Lepisosteus oculatus: one gene and its partner. Each later gene encodes a partner of the first gene's protein in a complex. Links are inferred from orthologs where the notes say so. Each region holds a gene or a part of one and is shown in the gene's direction. Other genes may lie near its edges.

Evidence for each region. Proteins that work in one complex are often made in the same cells at the same time.
Region 2: the proteins of acadm (region 1) and etfb are in contact, whole or in part, in a crystal structure (PDB 2A1T), measured with the Homo sapiens proteins. The link is inferred for Lepisosteus oculatus from reciprocal best matches to the Homo sapiens genes ACADM and ETFB. Residues at the interface, in NP_000007.1 of Homo sapiens: Glu43, Gln44, Lys46, Glu47, Phe48, Thr51, Lys54, Phe55, Glu58, Glu59, Arg80, Glu83, Leu84, Gly85, Leu86, Leu98, Leu100, Ile108; in NP_001976.1 of Homo sapiens: Glu73, Arg76, Thr77, Tyr192, Ala193, Thr194, Leu195, Pro196, Ile198, Met199, Lys202.

The regions. Positions count from the first base shown.
Region 1 is NC_090704.1:4,144,984-4,152,213, reverse strand, and holds the start of acadm (medium-chain specific acyl-CoA dehydrogenase, mitochondrial), read left to right. Parts: upstream 1-4,223; 5' UTR 4,224-4,303; coding exon 4,304-4,372; intron 4,373-4,703; coding exon 4,704-4,803; intron 4,804-4,983; coding exon 4,984-5,081; intron 5,082-5,816; coding exon 5,817-5,886; intron 5,887-6,069; coding exon 6,070-6,170; intron 6,171-6,352; coding exon 6,353-6,433; intron 6,434-7,230. UniProt on the Homo sapiens protein: Medium-chain specific acyl-CoA dehydrogenase is one of the acyl-CoA dehydrogenases that catalyze the first step of mitochondrial fatty acid beta-oxidation, an aerobic process breaking down fatty acids into acetyl-CoA and allowing the production of energy from fats.
Region 2 is NC_090722.1:8,296,378-8,303,952, reverse strand, and holds the start of etfb (electron transfer flavoprotein subunit beta), read left to right. Parts: upstream 1-4,569; 5' UTR 4,570-4,654; coding exon 4,655-4,708; intron 4,709-5,939; coding exon 5,940-6,098; intron 6,099-7,104; coding exon 7,105-7,263; intron 7,264-7,575. UniProt on the Homo sapiens protein: Heterodimeric electron transfer flavoprotein that accepts electrons from several mitochondrial dehydrogenases, including acyl-CoA dehydrogenases, glutaryl-CoA and sarcosine dehydrogenase.

The DNA.
Region 1 (7,230 bases):
TTGTGGTGCACAGTTACAGTCACCACCTTACAAAAATAATTATCGTTGCTCTAGAATCTGTCAAGAGAAGAACAACCAGATACATTCCTTGGCACAAAAGAAGTGTCCTACACTGACGGGCTGAAGGAACTGAATTCCTGAAATGTCTTTCAGTTTTGAACCTGGTTGGGACTTGATTCTCGTATTCCAAACCCTCAAACACGCTGGCAAGGTCAACCGAGCAGACAATGAAACATGAGCATGAGGACACTGTGGAAACTGTGGGAGAGTGTGTTTAAAACCGAGAGAGGGGGGCACCTATTTTGTGCGAAGGGGTGTGGAGGTTTGGAACAAACTACCCAGACATGTTGTGTTGAAGCTGTTGCGCTGGTTTCTTTCATGACCTGTCTGGATGAAGTCAGTTAGGCCCTGAAAAACACATCTGAGCTAAACTGGCTGAATGGCCTGCCCTCTTAAACTTCTTAAACTGTATTAATTAATTCTTGTGGGTGGAAGGAGCGTTCCCAAACCATTTTTGCACAAATTGCAATGTTGTCTGAAGATATTCTTTCCTGGTAAATGTTCCTGCCCTAGTCTAGCCATTGCGGTAATTATTTTATAAAGAGCAGGTACCATTATTAAGACTTTTGATTATCATTCTCAGGAAGAGTGTTCTTGTTTTTGCTGTTGTCCTTTCGTACCATTGTGTACAAAGGGCATTTGGTGATACCACAGAACAAGCCAGCACTCTTCATTAGGAAAATGACAGAAATCCATGATAAGGATGCTGTGTTCTTCTCTCCAGAGAAATGCCCCTCAGAGAGCCTCTTTTCCAGCCCGGGCTGATCTGTAACTCAGCTTAATCTGCTGGCAGACAGGCAAGTGGCAGGACACAGAGCCTTGTGGGAGCAGCTGTCCTTGAGATGGAAATCCCAACGAAAGCCACTTGTAAATCCGAATGCCAGAGTCGCTGGATCTGCGCTCATTTAATAATTATCAACACAAGTTAAAATTCAATTTTCTGCTAAAACCAGTACAGTGTCCAGCTGTTAGATGATGTTCCTTAAAAACGAAAGATCGTCAGTGTACAGAAAAATAGAGAATTCTCTATGTTGCATCATGCGCCACTTTGGTAGAGGTCATGATAAATGAGCCATTCAAGAAAGATGTATGGCAAATCTTACTAGACAGCTACTTATTTTTGACGAGTGAGTTATCACTGAGTCATACCCTCACATCAGGATCCAAAACAGCAGGGGACTCGTTTTTATTTTGTAAATACCTTTTTTTTTTTACAAAATTGTTGTACCTTTATTTACCATGTTTAATATTGTTTCCAAATAATGACTTTTGTGGATCATATTTGCCATAGCTACTGAAGAAGATAAGAGAGCTGCCCGGGAAGTGAGATAATAATATAATTTCTTGTTTTTGTAGTTTTTTGCAAACTATGCAGTCTAGTGGCTTGATGTAGGCTTTGGGCTCAAATATATATAAAGATGCTGCCTGTCCTTGGTCAGTAAGATAAGGGGCATGTATTTGGTAAGCTGGCTGTACGCCCAGAATATGAAAAGAACTAACTGTTGTCTAGTCTGCAACTTAGATATAATTAATTGGCATGTGTTGCTGTCTTATCATTTGTTTAGAATGTGTCATAGTAACTCTTTTTGTTTTAAGGTTGCAAGCCGGACTTCCATATGCATATGAATAAAGAGACTTCTGCTTCAAAGACACCTGAACTTTGTCATTTGTTTGACACTACACTACGAACACAAAGCATGGAGACTGCTGAGAAATTGTATTACAAAAATGTAATTATGAGGGGTTGTAGTTCTTACTGTATATATACTGTAGTGCTGGGGAAAGAAAGGAGTTTGGATTAAATGTTTATTAAAACTTAGCAGTCTTTGTCACATCAGTATTGCTAGGCAAGATCTAGTATGCACCACAGTATATGTGAATGTTTATGCATATGCACATGTCGATGTGCTGACTGTTAAAGTCTTGGGTAATTATCTTAGTTTCTGTGTTTGCTAATTCTTTAGTCAAACCGGGCAAACTGGGTGAATGATGCCTATGAAAACCATGGAGCTGAGCATCGTAGCTTGTTTTTGTGATTGCACTTGGGGTGATTGTATAGATACAGAATATAAAAATATTTAAAAAGCCTCTATTTATTGCCCTAGATTTCAAGCAATTCAAATTAAGAAAGTAAAGATCTACACCTATCTATCCCTTAACGTGTATCCAATGATATCAAGTAATGTTGATATCATTGGATTTTATTAACAAGTGTTTCATAAAATCATGTGTACAGGTCATTTTGTGGTGCCTGATGTGGAAAACAAAGACTTTGGTAAAAGGTCCTTTAAAACTGAACTACGCAATGATCTGTCGAGAAAGTAACGCATTAGTTTATTGATCTAACAAAGAAAAGCTAGTCATAAACTACCCAACAACAGCTAAGCTGTAACAGCTAAAGAAAATAAAAACGCACCATGAGGACTGAAGTAGACACCCATTTACCTTTCTGAGCACTTACCGCAGTTAATAAAGAAAGGACACTCGAGTCTCAAAGTATTTCAAAATGTGTTCTAAACATTGAAAGAATTTTAATGAAAAGGGTGGCGCTGTTTGTCAAAATATTCAGATTAAGGGCTATGAAAAAGGCGTATTCAGCTGAAAGAAAAGCTAAACAGGGAAACTAATAGAAGAGTTTTAACTGCTGACCGACATCGATATATGCACATTTAGATAATTGGAAGACAGCAACAATTATTGAAGATAACACTGTGTGGTCAGAACGGTTCCTGTTGCTTATTCCAGGGACAGCACCATTGAATAGGGTGGACAGGACCAGTGACAGGGGCCGGACTGTAATAATGTACTGTAGCCCTCTTTTCTCGGACACTGCTGCGACTGAACCAGGAGTTTCTACTGTGTCTAGTGGGATTGGTGCGTATACGCGAAAAGGCACAGTACCGTACTACAATCTGTGACGAGCTGTTACCGGCGTATGTACTCAGACTATTTCTGTTGACTCACAAGTTTCAACACTGTTTAATTGTATTCAAATCACCTGGCTTTTTTTTTTTACCAGTACCTAGTCTCAGGACGTAAATAATACTATTATACTGTTTTTCATGCTCGACTCCTATAGTTCAACCCAAATATTTTCTTCAGCACGCGTGTACAACATGTATCCTTAATATTGCACTTCAGCGCTATTGTCTGTTTTTTAATAAGGACTTTCTAATAAGTGTTTGGGACGTAGAGAGAGGAATTACCGTATATAAAACATGCCTCGATTCATAAAACGTGAATACTTTGAAACTTCAGTTTCATAATTTAAAGGGGGGGGGGGTCGATGTTTTCAGTCAATTGCGTTACGCAATTTTCTTTTCTTTCTTTTTTTTTGTTTGCTCCAGGTGATAACAGTAAACATATTTAAAAACCGGGTGTTAATTTTGGACCTGGAGACTGAAACTAGGTAAAAGGTCGCCTAGGCGATTGGGAGTGGGCTCGTGACGGAGGGGGCGGCGGTGATTGGCTGGACGACAGTTCCTTTTGGGGGCAAAGGTTGTTCGAACGTTCAAGGTCCCGAGGAGCGCAGGCTGTCAAAATGATGCACTTAAATAAGGTAAAATATGCCTTAATTACTCGGATATGACCATTATATGCAGAGATGCGAATGCATTCGAAGATCCTCCGTGCTGCATGTTTCTAGGTTCTCTTTTTGTAAGACGATGCCTTTGCGTAGGATTTATATAACGAGGTAGTCATGAGCTGTTGCAGCTGTTGTTTTAGTGTATGTACGTACAAAGAGGAAATGTTAAGGACTACGCATTATGTGGCTTGCATTTATTGCCGGAATTCCAAATGTGTACGTTGTATTTTATTATTGCAGTACTTTGGAAGCGAACGGAGGCGTCCAGAATTGTGGGCTGTATGGCGGATGTGATGTAGGCATCTTGCCTGCAAAACTGAAATCTAAGCTGTTGAAAACAAGGTGTTGCGTGCAGGTTCTGTAACGAGCTGTAGCGGCGATGGTCGGTCTCTGTCGCCGAGGTTACTCGGTAGTTTCTGATCACCCTTGCCTGCGCTGGACGACACAAACGCCAGCAACGTTTTATCGCGGTTATATAACCCAACATAATCCAATCCCGAAGTCGTACAAAGAGGGATATAAAAAGGTTTAAACGTGGCGAAGCTGTAGTTCTATTTACAATGTCTCATTTTCAGCGTGGCAGTTAGCGCTGCTGCGCTCACGGCTTCAGGTCCGGGGCGTGGTTGAGGACCGAGGGATCTTCTGTGTGGAGTTTGCATGTTCTTCCCGGGATGGCATGGCTATTCACCAAGTGCTCCTGTTTCCTCCCACAGTCCAAACATAATTGTGAGGTGAACGGGGTCTCTCGATTGTCCCCACGCCTGTGTGTGGCTTACAAAGGACTGCCTTCACCTCTTGCTTGTCCTGTTGCCTGTTGAGTTAGGCTCTGGTGCTCTAATAGCATTATTACTGCAAGCAGACAGATGGGTAGATCTCATTCGACACTAGGGGCTCTTGTGCAGTTTTGTCGAATCGGGTCGGGAATAGATGAAGTGTTGCTGTATCTTTTAAGTTTTGGGGGGGGGGGGGGATCTTTCAGGGTTTTTATGCTAAAGAATTGCAGGGCGAGGAGTAACAGTTGTGCTGCTGTGTTTTTTTTTTTTCCCCCAATCTGTAGCTTCTAAAAGCCACCGCTCAAGCTGGAGTGAGATTCCAGGGCACTACAGCCAGAGCCGCCCCAAGTGCCCCCAGAGCTGCTGTTGGAGGGTTTAGTTTTGGTGAGTAGAGTGCCGTGCGCCGTGTTTTAAGCGATTCCACCTTTCCCCGTGGATAGCTGAAGGGATGGCTCATTTTGCAAAGATATTAAGCCGTTCAGCGCCGAGATCGGGCGTCTTCGTCCCCGTGTAGCGGAACGGCTGCGGTCTGTGCCAACACCACTCCGGTTCTACCCCCTGCAGACCTGACGGATCAGCAGAAGGAATTCAGGGAAACGGCGCGCAAGTTCGCGAGGGAGGAGATCATCCCTGCGGCGCCACACTATGACCGGACGGGCGAAGTAAGTGCCGCAACGCACCCTGGAGCCTGATCCCTCGGCCAGAGTACAGACCTCCAGTCGTTAACTCCCGTTGGTCGGGGTCTTGGTGCTGCCTTTTCTCTCTCATCCTGCCGTGCGGAACGGTTCGGCTGGCCTGATGAGGCTGTAGGTTAAATGTAATGATTATTACCACCACACATTATCTGATGTGTGGTGAGCGTTCTGGCGCACTATGGCTGCCGTCGCATCATCCAGGTGGGGCTGCACACTGGGGGTGGTGGAGGGGATCCCCATTACCTGTAAAGCGCTTTGAGTGGAGTGTCCAGAAAAGCGCTATATAAGTGTTAGCAATTATTATTATTATTATTATTATTATTATTATTATTAATGAGTGGGGAGCGCTCGGGCCTGGACTGAAAGCGGGCCTGTTTTCATAGCTGCCTGCGATTGTTTGCATTCTGACCTTGAATAACCCATAACGGCAATCTGTCATGTCCACTGGAAGGCTCTTGCAGCAGCCCCTGAAGAGGGTGATTCAAATGCCTCTTCTCATTATTAGAAGGACAGATAAGCTTTCCCCTGTCTTAATATTCAAGCAGCATCTCCAAAGAGCTCAGGCCTCATTTGCTAATGTGCAGATAACTGCACAGACAGGAGACTGAGCAGCTGAATTGTAACTAGGTTGCAGTTGTATTGGCTTGGAAATGGCACTATCAACTGTGGTTAATTTATGCTCTCTTTTCTATTGCCCTGTAGTATCCTGTTCCTCTTATTAAGAGAGCCTGGGAGCTGGGCCTGATGAACTCTCATATTCCAGAAGACTGTGGTATTTCTTATGTTCTTGTCTTGCCTTTTCCATTTTTCCAAAAGGAAACTGTTGTTTTCTTTGATCTATGTGATACACATGGTGCTGTTAATTCCCTTTCCTCACTTCTCAATTGCTGGAAACCTCACTCCAAGTATTTTTTCTCTTCTGTATTTTTGTAACGTACGTTCTTGTCGGATGCAGGTGGCATGGGCCTTGGTATTTTTGATTCCTGCCTCATCACGGAGGAGATCGCTTATGGCTGCACTGGTATTCAGACAGCCATCGAGGCAAATTCCCTGGGGGTAAGGAGACTTGTTCTGTGCGTTTTAAGTGAAATACCACTAGGTTGTCCACAGACTGAAACCGCACAGCAGCGTGTATCACTATACAGTATATAGATAGCTGCCAGTGTCTGTTTGTGTACCGTATGTGTATTTTTGCCATTAAACACAGTCCAAACAGTTGTTTTCTTCATTGTCTTTAGCAAATGCCAGTCATCATTGCAGGTAATGATCAGCAGAGGAAAAAATACTTGGGCCGAATGACAGAGGAGCCCCTGATGTGTGTAAGTATTCAAGAAAAGGCTTACACTGTACAGGATTCACTTGTAGAGCAGTGTGACAGAGTTAAATAGTATTTCAGTTGCTAATTGAGGCAATGTGAAAAATCACAGTAAAAGACAGTAAAAGGCATGCTGACAGTTGCAGCATGAGTATGTTCAACAAGCCTAGAGCCATGTGACATTTTTGACAGCGGGTTCGAGAGAAAGAGAGCTATGAAATGCTTCTTAGCCACCTGAGAGGTGACTGGTCCACTCTGATGACTTCTGTGTCTAAAAAAAATCTTGATAATGTTTCTCTTGAACTTGCATTTAATGTTCATTTACCTTGCATTTTTTAAATTTCACACTGTCGTTAACATAAGATTCACAGCTTCATTTTTGCACAATTCTTATCAATACAAATATATGGATTTGTATCAGATAATTTTGAGTTGAAGCGCCAAATATACATAGAGCACTGTATATCGAATGCAGCCTACGTTAGTGCTGTGATATTACAAGGTGAAACTCTTTCAGGTGACAACTGACATGCATAATATTGCATTAAGCATCTCCAATAAAGCAGGTGAGGGCTAAATAATTCCAGATTTGTTCCGTTTCCAAATTGTTTTCTACAACAAAAATCCAGTCAAAGACATCGAGGGAATAAAATTGTGTCCTTAGTGACCATTCATGCCTAGAATTTTCTAGTAACACACAACCACTTGCGTGTGATGGAAAATGACACGGAACAATTGTTTTATACCGCAGTATAATTGTGCAGAATTTAAAAGAGTAACGCCAGTACCATCGGATCAAAT
Region 2 (7,575 bases), on another chromosome or scaffold:
TGACAGTTATTTTCTCTCTAAATGCCCCCTAATCTGTGTCCTCTATTTAGTTCTGCACTTTTCCCATGAAAGCACTTTATACCTGGCTAATGTCTTAGGTTTGAGGTAATGGGCAGATCTGACTTTGACTGTCAAAATCTAAGTGCTGTGCATGCCACGCACTAGAGTGTGTTTTTCTGGACTGGTGTTTTCAATGTTTATCTGCTGAACATTTTATTTGTAATGCAGCTATATTTCAGCTGCACATTGAACAGCACCAAATTTAAAAAACAAATTACTAAAGGACTCCTATTGCTCTGTGACTTTATTTTTTTTAAAGACATGCCTGTATGATCTACTTCTCTGTCCTGATATAGTTCTTGTTTTCTGTGTGCTTGTTTCTCACTGGCTCAGGGTTCTCTTTTTGTATCATGGTAACAGGAATCAAACCCTTATATTCCAGTTGAGCTGTAATGCGATTTGGAGGCACATCCAATATTTTTCATTTGTCTCTCTGTGAACTGGGTTCATATCCAAGACTGACAGAATATATAACCCTGCCTGCAACCCTTTAGGAAATAGCATGGATTTGTCCTGTACGATACAGACAGCATTGCTTCACACTGCAGAACTGGTGTGATCGAACATGAAAGTGCTATCATTAAAACAAGAGTGTCATTCATTGAACCTCAGAGAAGTTACAGTGCAGAAGAAGCCACATTTAGTTGCTAAACTATATAGTTTGTGGTTGCTGAAGCTTTTAGTAATCTATCTGGTCAGCTAAAAGTTCAGGTGGGTAGCTGCGTCAGCATGCGTTGGCTGCAAAGGGAACAAGTAACAGGTTTATTCCATGCTGAAAAATGAAGAAAGAAAACACAAAGTTTCGGCCGTGGAGCCCTCTTCAGGTGTGAGGGCCCGAGCTGGCATAAAATCTGAATCACACGATAATTCAGAAGCGAGGTGTTTTCATTTTCTCCCCAAGTCTCATCATATGTGGGTGATCAAATACTTCATCCCTTTGCTAAAATTGTTGATGCATTTGTAACGTTTAATTACCTGGCGGGCACTACACAGAAAACAATAACTGTGATGAACCTTCTGTTTTAGAATTGGCTTTCTTTTAATCGTTTTCCCACTGTACTGCATTGATTCTGTTAAAAAAAAAGACTTTCATCAAGCGATCACGTTGTCACTCAGCTGACAGCAGGATCCAATCCGGGTTTTCGCAAGAGCCACCTGACAGTCGAGAGTCTCGCCGGAAGAGGAGAAAGGAGAAGAAGCAGGAAGGACGAGTTAAAAACAGATCCTCTGCTCACACCGTTATGTACATGACTCGGTAGAAATTCTTTATATATGGAGGATTAAGCCTGTTAAAACCTACACACTCCATCCCAAGAGCAATAACTGTTATTCAGTATTCAATATTGTATTTGGTTCATCTTTTACCTAAAAACAAGCTATTTTTCTTTACTGCGGAAGCGCCGTGCTTCGGTTAGTAACACCCGGGACTAGATTTTTTTTTAAAAAATGTATCTGAGAGTTTACAGGTGTTTTTTTTTTTAACTCCATGCGGCGATAGTAAAAATATGTGAGCTGGTCTACACTAAAACATTCAAAAATTTTTGAGAAGAACTAATGTTGCATAACCGTTCAATTGTTCGTTTGTAAGTGCACTATGGGAAATGTAGTTTTGAACGAAGGTAAAATTCAATATAAAACAAGGTACGGTCAGATGCATTATTGTCTTTATATTCTTTGCAAATGATTTATGAAAGGGGAGGGCTAAAACTGTGAATACCTATATCAAATAGTTTTGTAAATTGTTATGTTGTATTTGCACAAAAGCAGTGCATTAAGAATAAACGACACAAGAATGTCACCACCCGTGTTGTTAATTTCCATATAGTACGGTAAAGCAATCCTATAATTAAGTGAAGATACTCGAGTTCATGGTAATAATGCCTGAATTTCCCGTAAGATGTAATATAACTTCCGCCTTGAACAAGAATAATTAAAATTCGTTTTTCGAGTATTTAGAGATTGTTGATGAGTGAATTCAGTTTCGGTTGAATTCTTTATGTTTTAAAAAATGCAAACTCTTTAATCTATTAAAATGTTATTTTTTTGTATTTTTATTTACCTGCCAGGATAATGTATCTCTACAAAAAAAAATCAACATTTGTGCTTACTATTTTGGAGTGAATTAAAATATGTTTATTAGCGTTTGATAATCCACAGTTCTCTTATTTATGATATTTTTACATCATCCACCACACAAAGCTTATAAATTTTCCTGAAAAGGTAAAATTCTTTGAATTGTTGGTCATTGAGTTATAGTTACATATTGTTTTGGTTGAGTACTGCTTGTATACGGTATGATATAAGGTGTGATCTGGACTTTAATCCAAAACCCAACAGCTGTGAAGCAGGACTACTAACCATCACATTACCTACAGTATGTTACCAGGGTGAAAAAAAATGTTATAATGTTTCCTTGTGGTTTTAAAGCACACCAAATGCACATGGAAAACCATAGCAAAGCTATTTAAATGCATAATGTAAACAGTAAAATGCAAAATGGACACAAGTTGATTTTCATAACCGATTCATTTGACAAACAATAAAAAAAGAGAATTAAATGATTATTCTGAATTGGGTATGATGTAAATCCCCTGAGACATTATGTATAGGTAACATACATTTATGACCAACTGCTTTAGAAGGGTTAGCTGTAAAAGCACTTGTCTTCACCCAGCATAGCACAGATATCATTGCAGTGGAGGTCAGGGTAGCCGGAGGCCCATTTCACAAAGCAGCCCAGGTTGAGAGAATGAATGTTCCGAGGGACTTCTTGATGTTTGGGCCGGACAGACTGGGGTCTTCTGACAGTCGGGTCAAAGTTCTTTTTCGGGGCCGGATGCTGGGGGTGGAACTCTTTGGCGAAGTACGAAGGAGGCTGAATGCTGCGATTCCTTTCCTTGAAGAACGCCTCTGGGATTGTGTTTCCCCAGATTCCCAGCAGAGACTTCTCAAAGGCCGTTAAGGGCCCCCATAGCTGGTATATTTTCATCCTACAACGTTACAAGAATACTGTATGTAAGAATTAATGGACATAAAACCTAAACTTTCAAGTTTACCATTACGCTGTTCTTGAAACCATTATCAATTACTTATATTAAGAATTCAGCTATCTCACTTTAGAAAAGACGAGCCATAAAGTGCTGGATTTCAATGGACTGCTATATGTAGAATTGTAGTTACTAAACTACTATTTTTAAAATATAATCTTTGTTAATCTTAATTACAGCATGATAATTCATTAATGATAGTTATTGAATGTTCTTACCTTCTGCAGCTTCTTTAAGGACTTTAAGGATCTTTTTATTTTCTTAGAGGTGCGTCTAGATTTTAAAAACTGCAAGAACTTTCCATTTATTTTAGAAAGTGTTTTTCTTGTTGCTATGCTTTCTAACTGTACTTTGTGATGTCACACCTCAATGATGATGTCACGTAGTTTATTTTAAAATTTGTTTATAAATAATCAAGTCATGGTGTATATTTTTAATGTTTCTGAACATCACATTATGATCTGGAATTTAGAGTCCCAATTTTAAATAGTATCTACCTAACAAGAAATTATAAGTGCAGACATAAATCTTATAAAATATATTTTAAAGAAGCCAGAGAACCAACATCAGCATTTATGTTCCAACCACAATTATGTTCCAACGACCATCAACCTTTACAGGAATTCTGTTTTCATTACTACAACACGCAGTGTCAAGCAATTCGCATTTATGCTCTCTTGTTCTTGGTTCACTACAGAAACAAATATGAAGTTACCTATTGGTTAGTACTTTTAAATAAAAGAACTATTAGCTCGGTGATTAGTTTAACAGCTGAGGTAGCAAACAGTATTAATTTTCAGATATTGTTCGATTAAAAAAAGTTCCATGAATTCAGTTTGTCTAATGCAGTAGGATGGATTTGATATGCTTGTTAAGAAGTAAGTATGTCACTCATCAGTTTATTGTCTTATTACAAAAATAAGAAGATCACTTAGCCATATACAATTTCTTGTATTAGGAATTTGTCTTTTCACATACCCCATCTTGCTCTCCATGAGACACACAGACAGGGAGAGAAGCTGGTGTTCAGAACACCAGGTCAGACATTTATACAGCTCAAGGGTCTGACAGAGTGGGATTTCTCTGCCAGCTGTGGGATATGAACCAGCAACCTTCCAGCCACAGGCACAGATCCTTAGCCACGGTACACTAAACAGAATTCACCTTTGTGACCATTTTTATTTCCTCAAATTGCTGCAACAGAACATGCAGAAAATATCCCGCTAGATACCGTCCATCCTGGCACAGCACACTGTTGAAACAGTCTGTGAACCTTTGCCCCAGTTTCTTGCAATCGCCACATAGGAACTCAACTGATCTGTTTTTAGTTTCTGCACCGCAGTAAACGGACCTGCGCTTTCTCCATATTCGTCACGCTTTCCCATTGGCTATAAATCGAAAGTCTGCTTTATAATTGGTTTACCGGGGGGTAGTTCCTAAGCCCTCCCCACTCCCCTCCTTTTCTTTCCCGGTGTCCCCGTGAAATCCGTCCGTCTCCCTTCTCCTGTCCGAAGAAGAGTGCAGGAGTTGTTTTTGTCAGGTTCAAAATGTCATCTCGGGTTTTGGTTGGTGTCAAGCGGGTTATTGACTACGCAGTCAAGGTACAATTATATTCAGTTCTCTCCGACTACGGAGAGATTTTTTTTTTTGTTTTCGATTGGTCTTCAGTTAGCCTGCAGGAGTTTCGTTAAAGGGACAAGGTCAGATTGCTTGCAAGTTGTAATCAGATCTCACACGAATGTGACATGAAAATCGATTATCAGTTGAGTTCAGTTTTCAAACGCTATACTGTATATTGCACGTTGCAGACGGTTAATGGAAGTTTTCAGGGCAATGAGTTAAGTAACTCAGACACAGAACAGAATATATACTGTATATAATATACAGTATACTATATCCCTTAAATCCAAAGAAGGCTTCACAGCCGAAACTCTCTTTTCAGCACGGAATAAACCTATTACTTGTTCCTTTGCAGCCTACGCATGCTGACTCAGCTACCCACCTGAACTACTTCAGAATATATACTGTATGGTTATGCTGGTGAAGGTTTGCAATTTTAAGCCTCTTCAGTAGTCCGTGTTAACTACTTTTTTGTCATTTCTGATTAGAAGTAGGTAAGGAACACCTTAGTCTAAATGAGACTATTTTAGTGCACAGTCGTTAACTATGCAAAGCAAATGCATTGCCAATTCTGAAATTATCATCCTATATTTAGCCTAGTATTGCTCTGAACAAGCAATCCAAAATTCATCTCGTGGTTAATAAATCAATTCTACAATGCGCTGTGTTGCTGCTTTTGCTGAGAAGGTCCGCCTTAAGACAATTATCATTCATGTCTCCACTTACACGTGTGCATTTTAAGAATAAAAATGAAATAACCCGTATTTACTAAAACATTGAGATTGATCGTTTCAATAATAATATTAATAATATTTTAATTAAAAACCGTGATGATTAAATTGAAGACTGTTGCATTTGATGAAGTACGAATATCAGCAAAGCCTGCAAAGAAAATGTGCAAAGTAAAATTTACCACTTGCATAGGTATAATATATTTTATTTCTTTAGTTATTACCTTTATTCTCCTTTCCTCTTTGCCCCTTTCATCTTTTTCTTCCCACTTTCCTTCTTTTTTCTGTTTACTATCTTAGACGTTTCTTACCTTATGTTTACTTGAGATTTGTTTCCTTATTTATTTTATAGCCCATACTCAGACTCGGAAGTGATACTGAAAAAAAGAATGTTGCTTTTTTTTAATCCCAGAAGACTGGTGTTCCAGGCTCTTTGCTTGACTCTGACCTCTGACCTTTCACCGGCGGTTTGGTTTTGCAGATCCGGGTGAAGCCGGACCGGACAGGGGTTGTCACGGATGGGGTGAAGCACTCCATGAACCCGTTCTGTGAAATCGCTGTGGAGGAGGCGGTGAGGCTGAAGGAGAAGAAGCTGGTGAACGAGGTCATAGCCGTGAGCTGTGGGCCCCAGCAGGTTCAGGTATGCCACCACTTCATGACCTTTGACCCCCTCATCCATGTCCTGTCTTCTTATTGTGGGACCAGGCGGGGGTCAGGGTGAGTCCAGCAAAGTTGTAACCAACCAGATGTTTGCCAGACTTTTTTTTTAAGGGGAGCGACTTTTGAGATCTTGATTGTGTGTGAGAGAGTCGTGTTTAGCCTCTTTTATAAGAAAAAAACATTTAAAACTGAGAACAGGAGAGGTATGTCTTTACACAAAGGCCTGTGGGAGTTTGTAACAAGCTACCCAGCTATGTTCTTGAATCTGATGTCCTGGTTCTCTTGTGAGCTGTGGCTTGTAATTCAGCATCTTTCTGAGAGACCTTTGCGAAGAGAATTTGAGGAAAAATGGAGGAAGTTCCTCTTATTTCATCGTTGTAAATCCTGGGATTAAGGCATCAGCAAAATAAAATGATAGTGATAATTATTTTTCTTCTAGGATCAGGTGGTTACATACCAAACAAACTGGAATAGCAATGGGGCCACCACTAGAAGCCGCCAAAAACAGCCTCTCAGGACTGGGCTTTGTTAATGCATCTGTATTTTCACATGTTGAATTGTTTAACTTTTACAAAGTTTAAGATAGAGTTAGTTATCAGCATCTTTATTTTATATAAGGGTTGCGGGTTTGTTCACTGCTTGTCCGTTGATCTGGTATCAGCTGGCGTGTAGAGCTGCATGTCAAGGTAAAAACGTGATTAACATCATGATGAGTGCTTGAAGATGGGGAAATAGTGTAGGTTTACCAACCTGCAGGCAGAGCAGTATAAATGGTAAAATAGAAGTGATGTCTTTGTCATAAATCTCTGTTGATCTACTAAACCAGGCTCCCTCAGAACTGAAGGTACCATTAGGGTGGAGGGGGGTTAATGTAAAATGGTCTTCTGAGCCACTCTAGCTCAGGTGTGGACTGTACACACAGGATATGCCATGGAACTGAGAACAAGACAGAGGTTCCTTCTGTGAAAGTTCCTTGTCCTCCCCAGGAAACCATCCGCACAGCGCTGGCAATGGGCGCTGACAGAGGGATCCATGTGGAGGTTTCTGGGAAGGATTATGACAACCTGGGGCCTCTGCAGGTCTCTAAGATTCTGGCAGCTCTAGCGAAGAAAGAAAACGCTTCTCTAGTAGTACTTGGCAAGCAGGTAAGATCAGTTATACAAAATAATTACTGCAACGTACACTTATGTGGCATCTGTCAGCACACAGCGAGAAAGGCTCCAGGTTACTGACCAGAGGATTGTGGGTTTAAGTCCCCACCTTGGATTGGATTACACCAGTGTGCAAGGGCCCATTTTCTGTGAAATGGGTTCCATTATTGCTAGGAATACCCAGAAATGGACTAGTGTCTTATCCTTGGAGTACTCATTCATTTTGAGTCCAACATTAAAGAGAAGAGGATAAGCTCAATCCTGGTGAACCACTTAACTCAAGAATGGGCTTCTTGTGTGTCTTTT